Ovis aries: one gene and its partner. The protein of the gene in region 1 interacts with the protein of each later gene in a pairwise test. Links are inferred from orthologs where the notes say so. Each region holds a gene or a part of one and is shown on either strand. Other genes may lie near its edges.

The links.
Region 2: the proteins of MKRN2 (region 1) and RACK1 interact in binary tests that used the Homo sapiens proteins (3 or more experiments, as listed by UniProt). The two-hybrid records come from large-scale screens. The link is inferred for Ovis aries from reciprocal best matches to the Homo sapiens genes MKRN2 and RACK1.

The regions. Positions count from the first base shown.
Region 1 is NC_056072.1:56,520,783-56,525,222, forward strand, and holds the start of MKRN2 (E3 ubiquitin-protein ligase makorin-2), read right to left. Parts: upstream 2,915-4,440; 5' UTR 2,824-2,914; coding exon 2,798-2,823; intron 1-2,797. UniProt on the Homo sapiens protein: E3 ubiquitin ligase catalyzing the covalent attachment of ubiquitin moieties onto substrate proteins.
Region 2 is NC_056058.1:38,114,089-38,118,574, forward strand, and holds the start of RACK1 (small ribosomal subunit protein RACK1), read right to left. Parts: upstream 2,974-4,486; 5' UTR 2,908-2,973; coding exon 2,799-2,907; intron 2,559-2,798; exon of another isoform or gene 2,491-2,558; intron 1,633-2,490; coding exon 1,461-1,632; intron 1,168-1,460; exon of another isoform or gene 1,089-1,167; intron 928-1,088; coding exon 780-927; intron 521-779; coding exon 425-520; intron 160-424; coding exon 49-159; intron 1-48. UniProt on the Homo sapiens protein: Scaffolding protein involved in the recruitment, assembly and/or regulation of a variety of signaling molecules. Interacts with a wide variety of proteins and plays a role in many cellular processes.

The DNA of each region.
Region 1 (4,440 bases):
GGGCTTTTCCAAGCTGGGTGGGCATGGCCATCCCCATTTTACAGGTGAGGAGACTGCAGCCCAGGTGAAGCCAGAATCAGAATCCAGAGCTGCCCGAGGCTGGAGCTCAAGCGCGTCCTTCACTCAGGGGCCGCAAGGTGCCCCGTATTTTGTTGGTGCCTTTCAATGAATCACAAGCTCCGGGCCTGACTCTATGGAAACCGTATTTAACAAAGGGACCTACCGCTATCACATGAGGCGGAGGACAAACAAACTGGTTGCCAGCAGTGATAAAGGCCTGCACCAGGCTTTTGAAAACAGACTGGAAACCTAGGGAGACGGTTTGGAAAAAAGAATCAGCAAAAAATTGAGATTCTGGACAGACCGAGATTCTGGAGCGAGTGGAATGTTGAGGAGTGAGGGGAGCTGATCGACAGCGCAGAGGTGTGAGTGGCCACTCTTGCATTCCAGGCAACAAACGGAATGTCTTTGTCCTTCAGTCTGGGAATCCTACCATTTAGCTTGTATTATAACGGAAGCAAAACAAACACAAACACTTGTTCCTGCTGACATGCAGCATAAACCAAAACCCGTCTGCATCTTGACATAAACCAAAAACAGGAGACCACCCAGTTTTAGATCTGGTCTCCCGAACAAATCAAACCTTGCACATTTCATATAAGTTGCCAATGTCTGGAGATAAGACCTCAGTGTATAAGGCGCTGAAGCGAGAAGAGCTTTCCCATCACTAGCGCACTCATGGTAACCTGGCACTCTTGGTGCCACTGCCATTTTCCTATGTAAGTACGTCTTCTGTTTCTCCTTGGGCAAGGCAGGCCTTGCAAGCCAGACTCTTCCGCATCCCTTTGCAAGTAACCTTTTTTTTTTTTTAAACATGGACCATTTTAAAGTCTTTACTGAATTTGTTACAATATTGTTTCTGTTGCTTCTGTTCTGATTTTTTTGGCCCTGAAGAATGTGAAATGTTAGCTCCCTAACCAGGGATTGAACTGGAACCCCCTACTGGAAGGCGAAGTCTTAAGCACTGGACCGCTAGGCACAGTCCCACTGTATAGTTTTGGATGAGTTTTCCTTTTTGGTATGAGCAAATTTAAAACTCTGAAAATTTCCGCAGTAAAGAAACTTTAACTTAGCATTTCCCGAACTTCTTTGGGGGCCAGAGCACCTACAAGAACACAAACTGATGCCACATGTGCCACCTTGGAAGTCACTTCACTGCTGAGGTTTGGTTGGTGACCCACGGAATGGTGTGTGTTGCTGGATGACAAGCAACATGGCTGGTAAGGAACCTCAAAGAGCACCCAGGGTACCGCCAACAAACATCACTTCGTACAGAACTGATCCCTTCTCAACCTTCCAACCCACTCTAGTTTCTCTGTACCAACGTCCTGCAGGACACTCCTATCTGGGAAAACCAGAACCAAAGCTTTTAGATCAAGCCATCTCCTAGGATAGAAAGAACAACCCCAAGGTAATCTTGATTTACATTTCTGTTCCTAGAGGCCGATGTGAATTCGGGGCAGGCTTCAAGTCGGAGCACAGCTTCTCCTCATCTGTCGAATGAGACACCAGGCAGATGGGAGATTCTATTACAAAGCAGCGCAGACACACGCACCCTCATGCAGACGCGGCTTAGGCGGGGTAACTGAAATTTGGTATACTGGTATACAGACCTCAATGATTAAAGATATTGTCCAACAGGGGGAAGTTTACAGAAACATACATAAACATACGCACAAGTGCTCACAAAAGACCTTCTATTACAAATAACCTAGTGAAATTCTTTTCTATCCACACAAACTGCCAATTTCTGACAACAGCACATAGGCCTTGGATTAACTGGTTAAACGGTTAATAGAGACTAATGCTAACAGGAAACTTTTTACATCACACTTTCTCAACTATTCATAGTAAGGAAGAGAAGTAGTAACACAGATGATACTTAAAACTCTTCATTACATATAATCGAACCACACGACTATGGGGCTGGGTACCGCCGCCCATCATTGTGTCCCACACAGATTTAACTCAGACCGACTGTTAAAAGCTGTACTTTTCAGGTTCAGTAAGAGCAGGACCCCCAGACCTTCGAGCCACATCCCTGCCGAGGAATGCGGTGTTACACACACCAAGCTCCTTCTATTAAACGGGCGCAGTGGAGCCATCCGGTTTTGAATTTTCTACAACTCCCGGTCCACCCGTTACCGCCGCATTTCTCCACAGAAATGGGTTTCCCCGTAAGGGGCGGCTCTCACTTACCCTCCGTCGGCCTGAGTTCCCTGCCCTACGAAACAGGAATAACGTCTGCCTAGTACGTTACTGTGAAGACCGCAGAACACAAGCCTTGGGGATACGCGGGAAAAGAAAGAAACTTCCAGCAAACGCTATTTCCCACACAGCAGCTTCCAACTCGCTAACTGTGCATGGGAGTTCTCCAGACCCTTAGGAACCGAAGGCCGCTTCCGCAGGCCCTCACCGACGATGAGAGCCTACACCTGGGTGGTATCGCCGTTTCTAAACGGCCTCCTCGGCCCCCTGGCTGCACAGCGGCGGCTTCGCCCCAGGTCTCGGGCCCACCTCCCAGCCCGCACGACCCGCCAGCGCGCTCTCCTTTCCAGCCGCGCGGCGGCCGGCGCAGCGCCCGCGGGGCTCCGCCACGCACCGCCGGGTCCTGGGCACCGGCCCCGCCGGAGCCCGAACCTCGGGAGAGCCGCTTCCCACCGCCCCACTCCGGCTCGTCTCCCTGGCGCGGCGGAGAGGCGCGCGCGGGGAAGGACTCGCGGCGCCGCGCACTGACCTGCAAGTGACCTGCTTGGTGCTCATGGCGGTCGGATCGGAGGACCGTCGTGCGGCCGCCGCCTCTAGCTCTCCCAGCTGCCGCCGTCGCCGCCTCGGCCTCGGCCCTGCCCATCCCGCGGGGCCGCGTCACGCCGGCGCACGCCGGCGTCTCCGTGCCGCACGCTGCGGGCGCCGGCAGGAAACCTCGCCGCCGTCATAATTGGTTCCGCCCCGGGGTGAGGCGGGGCCAACCGCCAATCGCTGCACTCCTAGTCCCGCCTCCGCAGGCCTCCCGGGCGGGCGTGGCTCGCCTCAGGCCCGCGGGTTTTACGCCCGGGGGCGCACTGTGAGTCCCTACGGGTCTCTGCTTTTCTTCTTCACCGTTCCTTAGCGACTTCTCGTGGCCTAGGATCACCTCAGCCCTCCCGCGGCCAAGCTCCCCCCTCTCCTCTGCGCAGTTCAATTCAGTGTCTCACACAGGAGAAGGCACTGGCACCCCACTCCAGTGCTCTTGCCAGGAAAATCCCATGGACGGAGGAGCCTGGTAGGCGGCAGTCCACGGGGTCGCAGAGTCGGACACGGCTGAGCGACTTAGCAGCAGCAGTAGCAGGACTGCGGCGCGCCAGGCCTCCCTGTCCATCACCATCTCCCGGAGCTTGCTCAGACTCACGTCCATCGAGTCGGTGATGCCAGCCAACCATCGCATCCTCTGTCGTCCCCTTCTCCTACCGCCTTCAATCTTTCCCAGCATCGGGGTCTTTTCCAGTCAGTCAGCTCTTCGCATCAGGTGGCCAAGTCTGACACTGTCTCCACTGCTTCCCCATCTATTTCCCATGAAGTGATGGGACCAGATGCCATGATCTTAGTTTTCTGAATGTTGAGCTTTACACCAATCTTTTCACTCTGCTCTTTCACTTTCATCAAGAGGCTTTTTAGTTCCTCTTCACTTTCTGCCATAAGGGTGGTGTCATCTGCATATCTGAGGTGATTGATATTTCTCCTGGCAATCTTGATTCCAGCTTGTGTTTCTTCCAGTCCAGCGTTTCTCATGATGTACTCTGCACGGAAGTTAAATAAGCAGGGTGATAATATACAGCCTTGACGTACTCCTTTTCCTATTTGGAACCAGTCTGTTGTTCCATGCCCAGTTCTAACTGTTGCTTCCTGACCTGCATATAGGTTTCTCAAGAGGCAGGTCAGGTAGCCCCAGAGTTTTTAAAGCTACCCCTTATCAAATAAAGGCAGTTTCTTTATCATTCTAGCTTTAAGACTTTTTAATAATAAATGTCTTGTTCTTTTAAATCAAGTCTGTTTTTCTCCTCTCTGAGAAAACCACACGGTCCTTTTTATTTGGTTAACGTATTGAATTATATCAATTGATTTTTCAATGTTAAACCAACCTGAGATTCCTCAGATATACCTCACTTGGCCATGATATATTATTCTTTCTATAAATCATCAGATTCAATTTGTTAATATTGTGTTTAGGAATTATGCATCCTTATCCTTAAGAGATATTATTCTGTAGTGTTCCCCTGTGATGTCCATGTCAGGTTTTGTAGTTGAGATGTGCTGGCCTCATAAAACAAGTTTGGAAGTCTTATCTCTTTTCTATTATTTGGAAAAGTCTATATAATATAGGTATTAACTTTTCCTCAAATA
Region 2 (4,486 bases), on another chromosome or scaffold:
ATCCAATTGTTCCCCATTGATTAGGGGATTCCTGTGTCTATGAATCACCTTGCCTCCAGAAGCACAGAGGGATCCATCTGGAGAGACGGTCACAGTGTTCAGGTAGCCTGTGTGGCCGATGTGATTGGTCTTCAGCTTACAATTTGCCAAGTTCCATACCTAAAATTGTGGGTCAAAGGTGAAGAACCTGGGCTCTGGATCTATCAAGGTCAAAAAAAGGCATGGCACCATGCTTAAAAGGCATCCCTGGATAGGAGAGCCAATTTCCATTCTATCAGTGACAAAAAAGTCCAAGAATTATTAATCTTGGCCACTTACGGTCAGTTAAGGGACAAAGCTGATTCAAAGTTGATTATGACCAACTGGGAGGTAGTGGGAACACATTCTGGTTGGTAAAGGCCTCACGCCCTGGCTCCAAGCTCACCTTGACCAGCTTGTCCCAGCCACAGGAAACAATAATGGGATTGCTGCTGTTGGGCGAGAAGCGGACACAAGACACCCACTCTGAATGGCTTTCATCCTGCAGAGGATGGAAAGGAAATAAGGAGAAACTGTCTCGTCTTATGAAACTCGAGACCCCACCCTCCCCGCTCAGTTATGTGGGATATATATTCAGTATGTTGACAACCTGTATTCACACTTCCAGAACCCAAACCTTTAAGATAAGATAGAATCCCTTTAGGTTCCAGACGAGGCTTAAAATCACCATATAAAAGCACCAGTTAAGAAGGATGGGGGAAATGTTCAACATATGCTCCCTGCATGTGCCTTTACTTTACCTGGACAGTATATTTGCATACACCCAGAGTATTCCATAGTTTGATGGTTTTGTCTCGGGAGCCAGAGACAATTTGCCGGTTGTCAGAAGAGAAGGCCACACTCAGCACATCTTTGGTATGGCCTACAAATCGGCGAGTGGTGGTGCCCCTGAGAAGGAGGACTTGGTTACTCTCTAGAAAGACTGCAAACATTCTTCCAGTCAGGCTGTTTCCCTGGCCCAATTCCTCACCCAATGGAGCTGCGTTACCCACACCACCCTGGACATGGCTTTGATAAACGGCAGGCCCTTGGCCGAGAATATGCCAGAGAATCCCTTCAGAATTGCAGGACATGTCCTCACTCCCATGTGGGGATTGGCTGACAATGTCATCTGTCATCACCAGGATCCTCCATTATGCCTGACCACCCAAGACTGAGCTCCCAATATACAGTATGTTCAAACATGTTGTCTAGTCCCAAGTGCAGTATCTGATAAAACTGCTAAAACAGACCACTCTTCAGCAATTCTGTGTATCTAATTAAAAGCAACGGGGAGGGAGGCCGAACCACCACAAATATCTTCTCCAGGTACTGTGCCTTACAGTTCCCACTCAAGTACCCAATCACTACCCTGGGAAACCTGATGGTATCTACCTGCTTTCTACCCAGCTTTCCCCCAGTGCCCCAGAGCAGCTACTTGCGTTGTGAGATCCCAAAGGCGAAGGGTTCCATCCCAGGAGCCTGAGAGGGCAAACTGGCCATCTGAGGAAATGACCACATCACTAACAAAGTGGGAGTGACCCCGAAGAGCACGCTGTGGGATACCATAGTTGGTCTCATCTCTGGTCAGCTTCCACATAATGATGGTCTTATCTAAGGGCAGGTTAAAACAAAACAAACAAAAAAAAAGACCCAGTGAAAAAACCCCACGGCTCACCATCTGACCTTCTGGATCATAAACCAAGGGCATTTAGGGGTAGGGAAACTACCTAAAGGCTGAGAGTAGTTATTAGCCAAGTCCAAGTAACTTTAGTCAAGAGTCAAGCAGAGCTAAGTTGCACCCTGAGAATTTAACTCAGGTGTGTGAAACTTTACCAGGTTATGGATGCCCCTTTCGAAAATCTAAAACGATTCCACATCTATTTATTGGGCTTCCCTAGTAGCTCAGATGGTAAAGCATTTGCCTGCAATGCAGGAGACCTGGGTTGAATCCCTGGGTAGGGAAGATCTCCTGGAGAAGGAAATGGCAACCCACTACAGTACCCTTGCTTGGGAAAATCCCAAGAACTGAGGAGCCTGGTAGGCTACAGTCCATGGGGCTGCAAAAAGTCGGAGACGACTGAGTGACTTCACTTCCAGAATGCATGCACACAGCAGGCTGGATATGGAAGAGTAGCTGTGGGCCTCCTGAAACTACTGCTAAAGGATGCAAGAAATACTAGCAATAGAAAATCCACTTTAGGCGCTAAGGACTGGATGCTTTCACTGCAATGTGTTCCACTGAATAAACTTTCCTAGTAAGTGCCATACATGATTGTAGCCTCAGATGAACTATTTTTAAATAGCGTGAACGCAAAAGCAATCGCCAAGAAGTCTCCAAATGCAGTCAGGTACAGAGAGAATGAGAAGGAAAAAAAAAGGGGGAAGAAAGGGCTGCCCCGAAATAGCCGAGAGACTAGACACGAGGTCCGCCTTGGAGTCCACTTTTTAATGAGCAGAGGGTCCGGGCAGCAGCTCAGAAACAGCCTCTGGGTTTCAGCATAGGCACTCAGATGGCATGTTGGGATCATCACGGCGCCGCCCGACCCGAAGGCTCCTGGGCCCACAGATACATACACGGGTTTGAGAGGTAGCGATTAGAAAGGCCCCAGCCTTGCAACCCTCCCGGCAGCCAGCTGTTTCGGGGCTCGCCAAGTCGGGGACGCATCACCGGTTCATCCGCGATGAGGCCTAGGCACAGGTCAACTCACAGCCCACCGGCCCAACCATGTGACGCGCGCAACGACCCCTGCCCCTTAATCCAGCACCTCAGCCCGTACCTCGAGAGGCGGACAATATCATGTCCGGGAACTGGGGAGTGGTAGCGATCTGGGTCACCCAGCCGTTGTGGCCCTTGAGGGTGCCACGAAGGGTCATCTGTTCAGTCATGGCGACGGAGAGTGCGGGTGTCGCCGGAGCGACAAGGATGGAACTGGATAACTCAGAGAGGCGACCCGCACAACCGCTTCCACCGCGGCCCTGCAGAGGAAAAGAGAGAACCGCCCACGCCGGATCCGGAAATACCCGCCCTCTCGAACGAAATGGCGCCCTCCCATAATTCACTTCTGCTCAAGGTGGCAGCGCCATGTAGTTCAAAGGGAGAGATAAAAGAAGACTTCTGGTCCAGACCGTCGTACAACGTAATTTGGTAGCACCGTACAAATTCCCTTATTAAACCAACATGACTGAGTATTTAAAAAGGCTCCTTATGGTAGGGGAATGATGTCTCAAAAGCGTCAGAGAGGAAGTACACGCCCCAGAGCTTAGTAAGGGGAGCCTAGTGGCTTCACTGGCCTTACGTGGCACAGTCTGAACCCCTCCCTTTCCGCTTGGTGGCTCGGAGGGCATCGCAGAGGGAGCTTAATTTCATGGGCACAATTGTGAGTAACGGTGGGCGATGTGAATAATACTATATTAAAATTTCAAAGTAAGCTGCGTTCAGGTGAACTGTTAAACCCTAACAAATTCCATGCGCGGGCGGCGACTCTTCCCTCAAGAGGTTTATTCACTAATGGTGTTGGGTGAAGAAAGACAGTCCACCCAGGACTAAGGCAGGAATGGGTTACAGAGAGGAAAACCGGGAATGAAGGATAAGTTAGTCTGTGGGCTGCTGGACAATAAACCCCGCTCCCGCCTAAGCAGGAGCGTGGAGAGCTCTCGCAGAAACTGAAAGGCTTCAAGAGGAAGGTTGGCTCGGGCAAAACCACCTCATAAAAAGGTCCTTGGGTCTGGGTGTCTAGACGTGCCCAAGTATTTCTTTTCTGTTTGTCACGTGTATTATTTTCTCATGAAATGAGATTGGGAATAATAGTACCTACCTCACACGGTGTGGAGAGTATATTAGATAGGTAAAACACCCAGAGAGACCCCTGGCAAAGCAAATGCACAGAACTTAGTGAGCACCTCTTGGTTACCAGACGCAATTTTAGGTCTTGGGAACATAGCTGTGAACAGGTTAAAAGGGACCTGTTTCTTTGTTTTTTGAGTTTACATCCAATGAGATGGGGGAAAAGAGCTCAAGGGGGAGATTTTTAGCAAAGAAAGATATAGGAGAGATCTTTCGGGATTTATGGGTGGATGTTCCAATCCGAGGAAAGAATCAGTGCCAAAGTTCAGAGCTGGAGCGTTGAAGGCCCTGGGGACCAAACCAATGCAATGGGGGTGGGGGTGGCAGTTGACAGAGGGCCTTGCAGGCTGCTAGAAGGCCTGCCTTTGGGAAGGAACAGTGTGGGACAGTGGCAAAGCTTCTACGGGCTATGGCTACTCAGATGTGTGAAGAAGGCCAGAATCCATCCCTTGAAAGCAGCTACTCTCCTGGTGCCTTGCACACCTCTCCCTTCCTCCACAGCCAAGTTGGGCTCATCAGGAACAGCCTTGCTGTGTTCCTGCACAGCCTAAGGACTCTTTTAAGGGTTCCATCATCTGCCTTCTTGGCATCCCCAGCTGGCTCTCCTGTAGTTTTTCTAAC